2 linked regions of the Coturnix japonica genome follow. Each later gene encodes a partner of the first gene's protein in a complex. Links are inferred from orthologs where the notes say so. Each region holds a gene or a part of one and is shown in the gene's direction. Other genes may lie near its edges.

Region 1 (5,563 bases):
CTTCCTTTCTTCTCCCACCCTCCGTTCCCCAGCTGATAACAAGACGAAAAAGAAAGTAGCTCATCGAGACAGGAAGCAGGACTTCTCTGCCTTCAAGCAGACAGACAGCGAGATGAAGGTTAAAATATCACCGCAGCTCCTCCTGGCAATGCACCGCTTCCTGGCAACAGGCAAGTGTGGATTATCTTGTTTCACAAACGTGCCAGAGCCTCGGAGGCAGTTGGTCAGCAAAGGCCGGTGAGGCGGGTGGGACAGTGCAGTTGGGAAGGGAGGCTGGACTGTGGGGTGACAAATAATGCCACTGTTGTGTTTTTCTTTTTAAATTCTCTCCTCTCCTGTGTTCAGTGTCGGCATGAACCCTCTGAGACATTTACCAGGGGTGGACCAGTAACTTTAAATTGGTCTGAAAGGTAAGGATGAATGCCAAGTGCCGCACTGCATGTGTAGAGTCCGTCAGATTAACGACTAGCAAGCTCACCCCATTAGGAAGAGCTCAGGGAACAAACTGCAGAGGACTCGATACCGCTGGCCAGCTGACTGTAATTGCACTCTGGCACTTCATCCAGAAAGAGATGCTGGATTTTTTGCAGGACGGCATAAGCCTGTTCCATGAGACTTGTGACTTGAAGTGAAAAACTCTCAACACACTTAATGCAGGCTGTGCAAGAGGTTCAACTGTACATTTAAAAGTGGATTTCTTGCTGGCTTGCGTGACCTCCGTTGATGGCTTCAGAGGACAGTTGTCCCCGTCTCACATCACCTTGATGCTTTAGCCCTTGTGTGGGCAGTCTGGCAGAGAGGCCCGGGGCTTGAATGCTGACATTGCCTTTCATCGTAAAGTTGGTCCCTTCACCTCAGGGATGGGACCTGTTAACATGAGAGCCTGTGGAAAGCAGACCTTCCTATTGCTCATGTTGTCTCTCTTTGGCATATAACGACTTCTCAATATGCAGGTCATTCAGACATGCATCTTTCACTTCTATATTCGTGGACTGAAAGTGATAAAGTTCTGTCTCCGGTTGGCTAGCTCAAGCTGGAAATTAATGCTTCCCCTCCTCTAAGATACAGTAACTGTGTGCCTAGATGCTCTCAGTCCACCTTCATGCTTTGTTCTGCCTCTGCAGCTTAAATGTGTGTGTGATCAGTTATTGCATCTCAGCTGGGGGGCCGTCAGTCCTTAAAAGGCTCGGATTTCTGTGGCTCACGTGCACGTGAGCATCTCCTTGGTGAGAGGAAACATTGCTACAGGAAGATGTGGATTTATCAGCAAGCAGAGCATTGTTCACGTAGTTGTATAAGACTCAGAGGAGTTCCCTAAGCACCTGCTCAACAGACATAGTCTTGTAGTGCTGTGTCTCTGCTTGTTTTGTGGATAAGAGAACTAACTGTGTAGCTTCGAACTGCCAGTGCTTCGAAGTGGCACTGCGGAATGAGATGAAAGCTACAATTTTGGGTTATCTGCTCTAGTCTGAGAATAGTGTCTCTAGCAGGTGAGAGGTGCTGGGTCATTAATGGTCCTGTTCTGAAATGAGGCATTAGGAATGCTTATCAGTTTGCATGTGTGAATCTCGATGTCCCTGGTCTAACTCTCACACAAGGATGAGCGTTTTCATTTCTTGCAGCTGTTGTTGGCAATACTGATGATTGAAAAGCTGGTGGGTAGGGAACCTTTTCTGTTGTGTCAGGTATTAATCCCACATGGTTTGAACTGACTTGCACTGTGCATCACTTTGAGTAACTTCCCGTGTGAACCACGGCAGCTCAAATCATGTCTTCAGATTATGCAGAGTATCTATCTAGAGTAACTTTCAAGGCCCCAGACAGTGATTTTTTTTTCTAACTTTTATTTTTTTTAATGCAATAAATACAGTAACTTCAATACATTCGGAGGAAGGAAAAATTACATCCAAAGGTTCTGTGTACCCCAACTGTAGAGCTCTTCCATTTACAACTCTCCAGTGAACCTGTTCAACTGTGACTGCACTCTCACATGGGCAAGACTGCCTTCCTGTGTCTTTTTTCTTTCAGATGAAGACATGCTTTTGGTGGTTGTCGTTTGTTTTATAAATACTTCATTGGGGTGTTCTTGTTCTTTTCCCCTTACAAATTTAACAGTCTTAAGAGACAGGAAGCGTGCAATTCCATAATGGATCTCCCTGCATCTGTGTGTCGTTTATGGGCAAATGCTTATTAATGAGTACTGCTAACTTCTTGCCAGGCGTATGAAGTGTAATGCCTACTTGTATCTTGTGTTATAGAAGTAGAAGCCTTTGGTCCATCCCAGATGTCAGAGAAGATCCTTCTCAGGCTGCTAAAACATCCCAACGTCATCCAGGAGCTGAAATTCGACGAGAAGAACAAGAAAGCCCCAGAACACTACCTCTACCAGCGAAACAAGCCTGTCGACTACTTTGTTCTCATTTTACAGGTCAGACACGTGGTTATGTACTTGATATGTGCAATATTGTGCATCTCCTGACATATCACTCTTGATATCTCTTCCACTTGTTGAAGTTTGTTGTCTTTCAAGTGTGGGACTGGAGCTTTGCTCATGGAAAATGCTTGTCTCCTTCATGATCTTGCCACACTTCAAAGAGCTCATTCAGTTGCTTTTAGCCCCAGTTAAACCTGCTGTGATATCTGCTGAAAGTTATTTGTGCTTTAGGTGTTACAATGCGGAAGAACCCTGGTGTGCAGTTGGCACTGCTTGTAGAACAGGGTATGAAAAGCCTTGTGTCAGTAGGAGCTTGGCCAGGATGCTTTCCCCAGTGGATTTTTCCATTTGCAAAAGGTGCCATGGGGAGTTTGACAGTTTGGGAAGAAGGCATTTCTTCTGTGCAGTTTTGAAGTCCAGAGCCTTTGGTGCTGTGATAAATGCAGGTTTCTGTGGGGCCACTGCACCATCTGCTGTAGGTACAGCCTCCTGCCGTAGCTCTGTGCTACCTTGGGCACCTGAGCTCTCGCTCTGCACTGAGATCATTGCCTTTGGGTGGGTTTAGGTTGCAGCCCTGAGGGAGGTGGGGAAGGACTGATTTCCGTTTGTTCACTATAGGGTCACTTCCAGTGCTGATCATCTCCCAGGGTCCCTTGATACAGAAACTTAACTCCCATCTAGCACTGTTCAAGCAGTAACAGTCTTTTAAATAAGAGACATGTTGCTGGAAAGGTGCTTATGTTGTCTTTGAGGGTAACTGAAATGAGTTTTGGTTATACAGGCAAGAGCACTGCAACTGAAACTGTGGCAGAGGACTTGAAACCTTCCTTTCCATTGCTTCTAACAACAGCAAAATGGTGAGGGTGTTAAACATCATCAGTGATCAACAACAAAGAAAGCACTGGAATATGATGATGTTGATTCAAGATAGTTCTCTTAAAAAAGAATTTGTTGCTTTTTCTTAAAGTGTTTTTTTAACTGCTGGTTCTTGTGTTCCGATTTGTTGCAACCTGAAATATTCCAGAAGCCAGACAGTGCTCCTGCATGAGGTAATGCTGCAAAACTGTAGCTGGAGGACGTGTACGATACAAAAGAACAAATGGTTCTTTCTGAGCTATTCTTCAATCAATAAGTATTTAGTAAAAACACTGTGCTAAGTCTGTAATGCTTTTGGAAAAGGGAGTCATGCAGTAGGGACATATTACAAAAACATTAAGTCTTGGTTCTGCAAGGATCGGTGGATCAATACTCTGCTTCTGTTATTTAAATCATCTGCTCTGGAGCATCTTCTCTCACCTGGAGAGATTGAGAGTACCTTCACAGTAAATGATACCAGAACAGAAGCAAATGTGTGTTTTTTGCATTAAGTTTGCTAGTTTAATCTCTGGAGTTACTGTTGCAGATGGAAAGTCACCTCTTTGCAGCAGTTTTTCTCTTAGCTCCTGGGAAGCTCTTCTGTATTGGTTTGCTTTTGTCATTGTGTTCTTTCAGAATTCCCATTGGAGCATTAAGCAGTACAAACCCAGAAACCAGAGGTGTGTACACTTCAGCAGCAGAGCACATCTCATAGCATACATGGAGAATCCTCACTGGCTCTTCAGCTGCTGTGGCAATGCCAAGCATGTGCAGCCTTCTTGTGGCCACCACTGGGAAGTGCTGTGTGTGCTGACAGCAGCGCTGGAACTGAAGCTCTGCTCTTAGTGCTAGTTACAACCTTGTTGTTCTTTGGGTGCTAACACCAGGCTGACTGTATGTGAAGATCAAAGCCTGTTTGCATATTTGTTTTAAAGACCTGGCCTTGGTTGGTAGGGAACTACCAATTATGAACAGAGTGAGAGCCCTGTTTATAACCAGTCTTTGCCTGGGTGACCAACAGGTATCTAAATATTGGTATTGTGGAGTGAAATTGATTTTAAAAGGGACTACATGAAGTGATTGGTTTTGATAGCAGGAAAGTGGGTTTGTGAGTTAAGCATCCTCTTTCCACGAGGTAGATGCCATTTTTTTCTGGTCTGGAATGGTTAGAAAAACTGACTTGACATGGGGTCACACAGCCTGATTTCTTTCCCATGTTTTTCTGCCCTGATACAGTGCTGTGAAATTAAACACATGTTTAATTAATATTAATTGCTTTTCGAACAGTAAGCACGTAGAAGTAAAAGCTACCTTTTGGACTTGTTTTAACCTGATTGTGTCCATCTGATGGTCAGTTCACTTGGTACATGTAGCGTGGGCAGTCTGTCTGCCCTTTCCATTGCATTGCAAGTAATTATGTTGTCTGCCTAAAATCTCAGCCTTCATGTAGCTCAGCTTGAAAGCTGCCTGAGATGGCTTCTTTCTGCAGTTAGGTCCTGTAATTCTCAGTACAGTACCAGTAAGGATGGAGGGGAAAACCAGATCCCACTAAGAAGCGAGTTATTTCTTACTATTTATATATCAAAATAACTGGGATATTTACTGCTACATTTGATATTGTAGTTTCTCTTCTAGAGTTGTTTGTATGATATCAGTATCTGTTGTTAAATGTTTGGTACAGACCACATCAGAAATGGGTACATTGTGTGGTAGGGTGGTGTGGAGCCTGGGAAGCTCTGAGGGTTTTTCTAAACAAGATCCTTCTCTTTTTGCAGAGTCTTAATTTCAGGGTGCTGGAATATGTAAAAGTGCCAGAAACCAACAAAATCAAAATAGCCCCAGGATTGCTGCATCAGGAATAAGGGCCTTGATTCTGTGGGAATCTCATCGGGGAAAACAAATTCCATCTGAGATGTTGTCTTCCATCTCCATTTCCCATATTCATGTTAGAAAGGACTTGATGTGAATGTGAGCCATGCCCTCAAATGGCTTCTCAAGACCCCAGATGACTGGGTGCATACAAACCTCTTGTGATATTGGCTGAGGACAGGCAGTCTGTCCGCCCTTGGATCATGTCAGTAGTACCATCTCTGTGACCCTACTCTCCCTGCAGGGACTTACAGGCACAGGGACCCAAGGGCCAGAATTGCCCAGGACAAGTATGTTCTTTCCCCCAGGGTCTGTCCCTTTTCAGGCATCATTACAAACTGCAGGGACCATGACACTACTTAGCACAGTCAGGAAGGACTGGCTACTAGGGCTGAAGTCTGGTCT
Region 2 (6,261 bases), on another chromosome or scaffold:
TCTCAAACAGCTCTAGAAGAAAGAACTCTCAGTCATTGCACATTCCTCTACTGTCATAAGAAGCACTTCAGAAAGACTACTTGTTCCTAGTGTTCTCCTTTAGACTCTCCTCTAGTCACCCACTGTATAGAAGTTGGGTCCAAAAGTGATTGTTCTCAGAAGTGACATGGCTAAGGAAGAAATGGTTTTTTACAGGTTAAAGGGAAAACATAGCAAAAAATTATTTGATACAAAACAGAACCAAAACAAATGAACAAAAAAACACCCCATGCAATGACAGAAGATAGATTTTGTAATGCTATTCGGAGACATCTTTTAGCTACCCCTGTTCAGCCTGTATAACCACTGTCAAAAGGGCATCTCGTGATCAGCAGAAAGTTGCCAGCAATGGCCATGACTATAAGGGAAACAGTCAGAGCACTGAACAGCAGGAAGGGCCAGACCTGTATCCCTTCTGCCACTTTCCAGCAATTAAAATGCTAAAATTAGCATATGGCTTAATGAAATGTAAACAATTTCATTTGCACTTGTCTACATTTAGTTTAGGCTGCAATGCCTATCAGACATCAATTTCCAAAGTAAACTGATGAGAGTCAAAGAAAACATTTTATTTATTTATTATTATTATTTATTTATTTTCAGATCAAACATGACTAGAAAGTGAATTATCTATTAACAAGGCCTCCCTGCCTTTTGGGCAGGGCAGGGTGAAAACACCTTATCAACACACTGACACCAGCTGGACCTGGACGTTGTGACTGAACCTTTCTCGTGATGTTGCAACATCACAAAAAATCAGAGCAGAAATCGCTGCCCTCTTCCCCTGCCCTTTGCCAAATCTAGGCCATCTACTCCCTGATATCCTTATAAACATGCATTCCTGATTGCTCTTGAATCCTCATTCACTCATACACTCCCCTTTCCTTCATATCTGCTCCTGCAGTGCACTTTTATTTTCTAAGTCATTTCATCTGATAGTCTTTCAGTTTCACATCCCACAGTTGTATTAAGAAGTCACTTTGAGTTGTGTAAAAGCTTACAGGTCAGATGTCAGAGTCCATTATGGAATATTAGTGTTGCTGTCATAAGTGGTTGGGAAAATTATGCTTTATGAACAATTTCTTACCTGCATATATCAAATTTATCAAAGACATGTTTACTCGCAGATTCTGCTGAATGCAGTTGAGTTGTTTTCACCTCGCTAAGAAAGACTGTTTCTAGAAGTTAATACCAAAACTCCTATTTGTTCTCATCGGGAATAAGTAATTATTTGCAAACTTGATTACTCTTTACTCATTACCACATTAGCTTAGAGAGGGTGAAAGGTCCTTCATGCTGCACCACCCCCTTCCCACTGGGAGCAGACTTCAGCATCAGAAGTGGTAGTGCCAAAGAAAGACACCTGGTTCTCAATGCACCTGTCTGCACTGCTGCCTAACACTAGAAGCACAAAGAAAGCGAAGTCACAAGTCTTAAACGCTAAAGTTCACAGGTGCCTGCAGTCCTGCTCCCAGGCATCCCTAAGATGAGGTATCTTGCTTTTGTTATTGTTACGAGGTATGAAGCCTTCAGCCTTCACACATCTCTTTTCAAAGATGGCTAACAGCCCCTGAGCTGCCATAGACCTAATCCCGACCGGTGGTCTTGGCTACGCTGCTAATATCACTGTGGTTGTATACCCCAAAGTCTCAGCCGACCACAGGATGCAGCTGCACCCCGCTGCAGCCAGGAGCTGACAGCTCACTGCCCCACACTGCAGGGGAGCTCTGTGCCCACTGCCCTGACATAGGAATGCCAGCAGGCCAGCCTGGAGGCCACCATCTGTCCTGCCATTCTGTATGGAACAAGCAGGACCCAGCAGCCGTTCGCTGAACTCAGAGCCCACTTCCGAGCACCAGCCAAAGGCTGCGAGTACAGATGCCGCTCCTTCCCCATGTGGCCTTAAGTTCTCCGGAGTGCGTTTGTGTTAGACATTCGGGCTTTTTACCTACAAGACATACAGACCTTTGGGATTTCCATTTCGAAGAGATTAAACGGCTCCTGCGCTGAGCAGAGGAACGGGGCTGTCGCATCGTGCCGAACCCTGCTACCTCTCTGCAGCGTTTGACCCCAGCGCCTCTGAACAGAGAAAGTCAAGTCAGAGCAGCACGAGGTGTTCGGTGCCTCACGCCTTCCTGCCGGCACACAGCACGGCCCACATCCCCCGCCGTGCCGGCAGCTGCCGCCCTGCACGGCGCTTCGCCTTTAAGAGCTCGGTGCGGCGCCCCACGTGTGCGATCAGCTGATCGCGACGTCGCTCGGGGCGGGGCGGGGGCTCCGGCCGCTGCTGCGGAGCGGCGGGGCGCTGCGGGCGCGGGGCGGGGGTTGGTTGCGCTGCCGCCGTGCGCCCTCCTTCCCTCCTTCCCTCCTTCCCTGCCTCCCGTCTCCTCCTCTCCGTCCCTCCCGGCTCCTTCCCTCGCACCGAGCCCTCCGCGCGCGCAGAGCAGCGGCAGTGACAGCCCCGCCGTGCAGCGCCGGCGCCCCCGCAGCTCCCTCCCCCTCCTCCGCTTTCGGGGCGCCGGCGGCCGATCCCCCCCTCGGCTCCGTACCTGGCGGCTCCGGCCGAGCCCCCCCCGCGGCCGTTCCCTGCTCGCCATCGGGCAGGAAGCGCCGTTCCCCGGCGGCGGGGCGCGCTGTCAGCGGGCGGCCCCGCGGAGCTCCTCGGCGGTCCATGGATTACCTGGTAGGTTCACCCCCACCCCCTGCCCGCGGGGTGGGCGCGTCCTCCGGGGCGTGCGGCCGCCCGCTCATTTGGCCGCTATTAGATCGCTAACGCCGTGACCCGGGCCGCGGCTGCGCTCCTAAATGCACGGGCGCGAGATACGGTTGAATGAGCTAAATTGTCACCGCGGGCACAGCGGCGTTTATGGCTCCTTAATGAAGATTGGCCTTACCGGCCGCCGAGATCCTATCGGGCGCGCTGCCGGCGGGGTCGCGGCGAGGGGCGGCGGCCTCCAGCCAGCGCTGCACCTGCGGGCAGCGGGACGGAGCGCAGGGAGCGGGCTGCCCCTTCCCTGTGCTTTCCCTTCCCTGTGATGAGTGAGGTGGAGAAGGTGTCCGTTTGTCCCCCTGCCCGTCTGACTTAGAGTTGCTCAGGGACGTTCACACCGACAACAACTCTGCGCTTTCCTTCCTGAGTATAGCAGAACAGAAGGTGAGCCCTACCTGGCAGGCAGGCTGCTCTTTAAGAACCTGGTTAATGAAACACTGATAATAAACTGCTGTGCACCAAATGCAGCCTTGCAGCTCCATAAGGGCCTGTTCCTGTTCCTTGGGTTTTTCCTTTATAACTTATGTCCAGATGGAACTGGCCGTAGTGTACTGTTTGCAGTCAGCGTGTTAATCTTCATGGCTGCCACCTGCTGTGTGGATGCCCAGCCACCTGAGAACCGTGCATTTAATAAGACTTGGTCATGGGGAGCGCATTCCTCTGTTCACTGGAGGGAGGCAGGGGTTGAGTATCTCTGCGTTGCTTTTTTCCCTTGCTCTTTCTACCCTGTTAGTCCTCTTCCTTTTCTTTTTTTCCTTGCTGTTTTGTGGGCTTCTTTAGTGCTGTCTCTTAGTTAAAATAAATAAATAAAAAACATAGCTGTGGCCTCAGTCTTCATGAAGTCCTTGCTTCACGTTTCTGTTGCATCAGGGAAGGTCTTTGGCGCCAGGCTTATCCCAGGCCTGATATATCACATAGTGCCATGTGAGATGTAGGGGCTTGCTTTGCTGCAGGAGTTGCTACAAATCAGCTGTTTTTATAACAGGAAATACAGCATTGGGAATGACAGCTTGAGCAGGCTGCTGGTACCTCGCAGTTCAGGTGTCTCTGTCCATCCCTGGCCACCAACTGTGGCCGGGGTTAACATCACTTCTCATATGCAGGAGGACTCCCTTGGAGCTTTGGGATGCTTGCTGCAACTGGCATCCACACAGCTGTAGACCAAAACAGAAAAGAAATTCGGGACACTTTAATTCTTATGACTGTGTACTACTTGGAATGAAAACAAACTCTGTTGAACAGTATTTTCTCATAGTTCCAGTACTTGTTTTTGCCATCTGCAGGAGATTGGTCCTCCTTCCTTTCTCTGTTAATGGCAGCAAATTGAAAGGCTCTGGCAGAAGGAGTTGGTGGGGTGAGTGAGGAACATAGATCTTTACAGTCCTGGAGGACCACAGGGCTCCTACAGAATACCTGTTGCTCTGATGGGCCCACTTCTCATGCAAGACCAGCAGGAGCAGCAAGGACATAAACTGTTAGGTGTAGAACCTACATGCCCTGGTTATTTTCATGAAAATAAAAGTGGTGTATGTTAAGAAATCTTTGAGTTATTGAGCTTTATGCATTTATGTTGGTGTCTTTCACCTGTGTAGGCTTCAGCTGCTAAACAGAATATCGCTTGCTGGTTCTTCCCATTGGATGCACATGTTGGAGCCTTAGGGGATCTTCCTGCCTGTGCAGTGCTGCTCTTCCTGGCTGCAGGAAGACAGTTTTGCTGGTGAGACAGGGAGCTCAGCAGAAGAAGGCTGGGACATCTGAGGTCAGAGTGGCTGCAGCATGGGCTTTGGGGAGCCCTTAGCATGGAGTTTGCCCTCACCTGTCACTTCCTATACTGATGTAGGACTCTCATTTTCCTGGTATCTCAGGATGAGGCCTGCTCTGGTGGAGGGTTTGTTCTTTAAGGAGCTGACGCTGAGAAACACTGAATGGATAAATTACTGGTATTAGGTGAGCATCTTCTGCTGTGCCTGGTTTGGCTTTGCATTGTAACAGAGCAGTCTAAAGTATCTGGAAGAGGTCCTTGAGCCTTTTGTATTGGTGCAATTACAGGGTTAGGAGTAGTGTTGTTTCTGTGTTCTTATTTTAATAGGCATAGATGAGCCAAGTTCAACCTTCAGAAGAAAAAAACATCTTCACTCTCTTAAAGGTGGACTCCTTTAAAACCTCCTGTGTGAATGCAGCTGCATGAGCACACAGCAGCAAGAGTTCTGTGACTACCTAATCCTGCAGTGTGTCTGCAACCATCTTCTAATTCATTCTTGCTGCTCTGTGTCCGGAAGAATTACAGTGCATACACAGACTTGTGTTGGCTGGCCTATGTTCTGTAGACTATGCTTAATTCATGACATTATGTCATGATGCATCTTGTGAAAAGTATGGCTTGTAGCCAGTCTGACCGTATTTGCTTAGAGAACCTGTAGGGAAACAGTGGCAGTGCTTCAGTTTTCATGTGTAGTACTTGCAGTACAGATCTTAAGCTGATGAGCAGACTTTCACAATACATTTCTTTAGTGGCATCCTCTGCATTAGATAATGATCTTACACTAAACAGTTGCATGTATCAGCCTGATCTGTGATGAGCCTTTAAAAGCTGTTTTAGGGGATGATGTAGCAGTTAGAATCAGTGTGGGTTGAGGCTGGGGAAAGTTTTTACATTGCCCTGATAGTTTGTAAAATGTGTAGGTTGCTCTGAAAGTAGTGCCTCGTATTTATTTCCATAGAGATGGTAACAAATAAGAAGAGCACAATAACACTGCTTGAGAGAGCACATTCTCAGCTACAAAACACTGTTTTTCAACACTTTGGCAATGATGAACAACAGTCTGAGCACCATGCTTGTAAAAATCTGCATGGCCATCCAGAATGTGACTTGTCTTTCACATCACTGTTACCACTGCTGAAATGCACCACCCATCACCTCACTGTGCTCACATCCACTGCTTGGTCTCCATAAGTGTTCAGCAAGCATCAGTGAATGTCAGTGGGTGCCATTTTTTCCACATGGAGGAATTCAGTGACACACCTTTGCTCTACACACACCTCCATCTGTGACACCATTTTGCCAGAGCGTCCCTCTGCTGCCATCCATCATACAGCAACAGCACTTAATGGGATATTGGTGGGAAGGTTCAGCCCTTACTGCCCTACCACCAGCACCTGCCTCTGTTTTGTGGGCCAACACCATAAAATAGGATGCATTACTTCTTGTGCTGCCCTCATCAATAGAAAGAGGAGTAGAGTGATTTTTTTTTTTTTTTTTCTCCTGGTTCGATATGAACTCTTAAAATTTGTCTGTGCCATGGACCATCCAAAGCACATGCTGCTTATACAACCAAACACAAGCATGAAATTCCCTTGAAGCCTCTACTTTCTCTTCTCCCTTGCTGCCAGGATAGCACTATCAATCTTCATTTATGAGACTCATTATTGACAGTGTGCTGAAAGATTACTTC

The links. Proteins that work in one complex are often made in the same cells at the same time.
Region 2: the proteins of CNNM2 (region 1) and ARL15 are in contact, whole or in part, in a crystal structure (PDB 8F6D), measured with the Homo sapiens proteins. The link is inferred for Coturnix japonica from reciprocal best matches to the Homo sapiens genes CNNM2 and ARL15. Residues at the interface, in NP_060119.3 of Homo sapiens: Asn490, Val492, Pro521, Leu522, His523, Phe524, Val525, Phe526, Thr529, Glu537, Lys542, Ser543, Gln549; in NP_061960.1 of Homo sapiens: Tyr92, Ser94, Arg95, Gln98, Gln128, His129, Pro130, Gln131, Cys133.

Annotation. Positions count from the first base shown.
Region 1 is NC_029521.1:20,566,300-20,571,862, forward strand, and holds part of CNNM2 (metal transporter CNNM2), read left to right. Parts: intron 1-32; coding exon 33-170; intron 171-2,258; coding exon 2,259-2,428; intron 2,429-5,563.
Region 2 is NC_029547.1:17,990,743-17,997,003, reverse strand, and holds the start of ARL15 (ADP-ribosylation factor-like protein 15), read left to right. Parts: upstream 1-2,311; 5' UTR 2,312-2,710; coding exon of another isoform or gene 2,711-2,722; intron 2,723-6,261.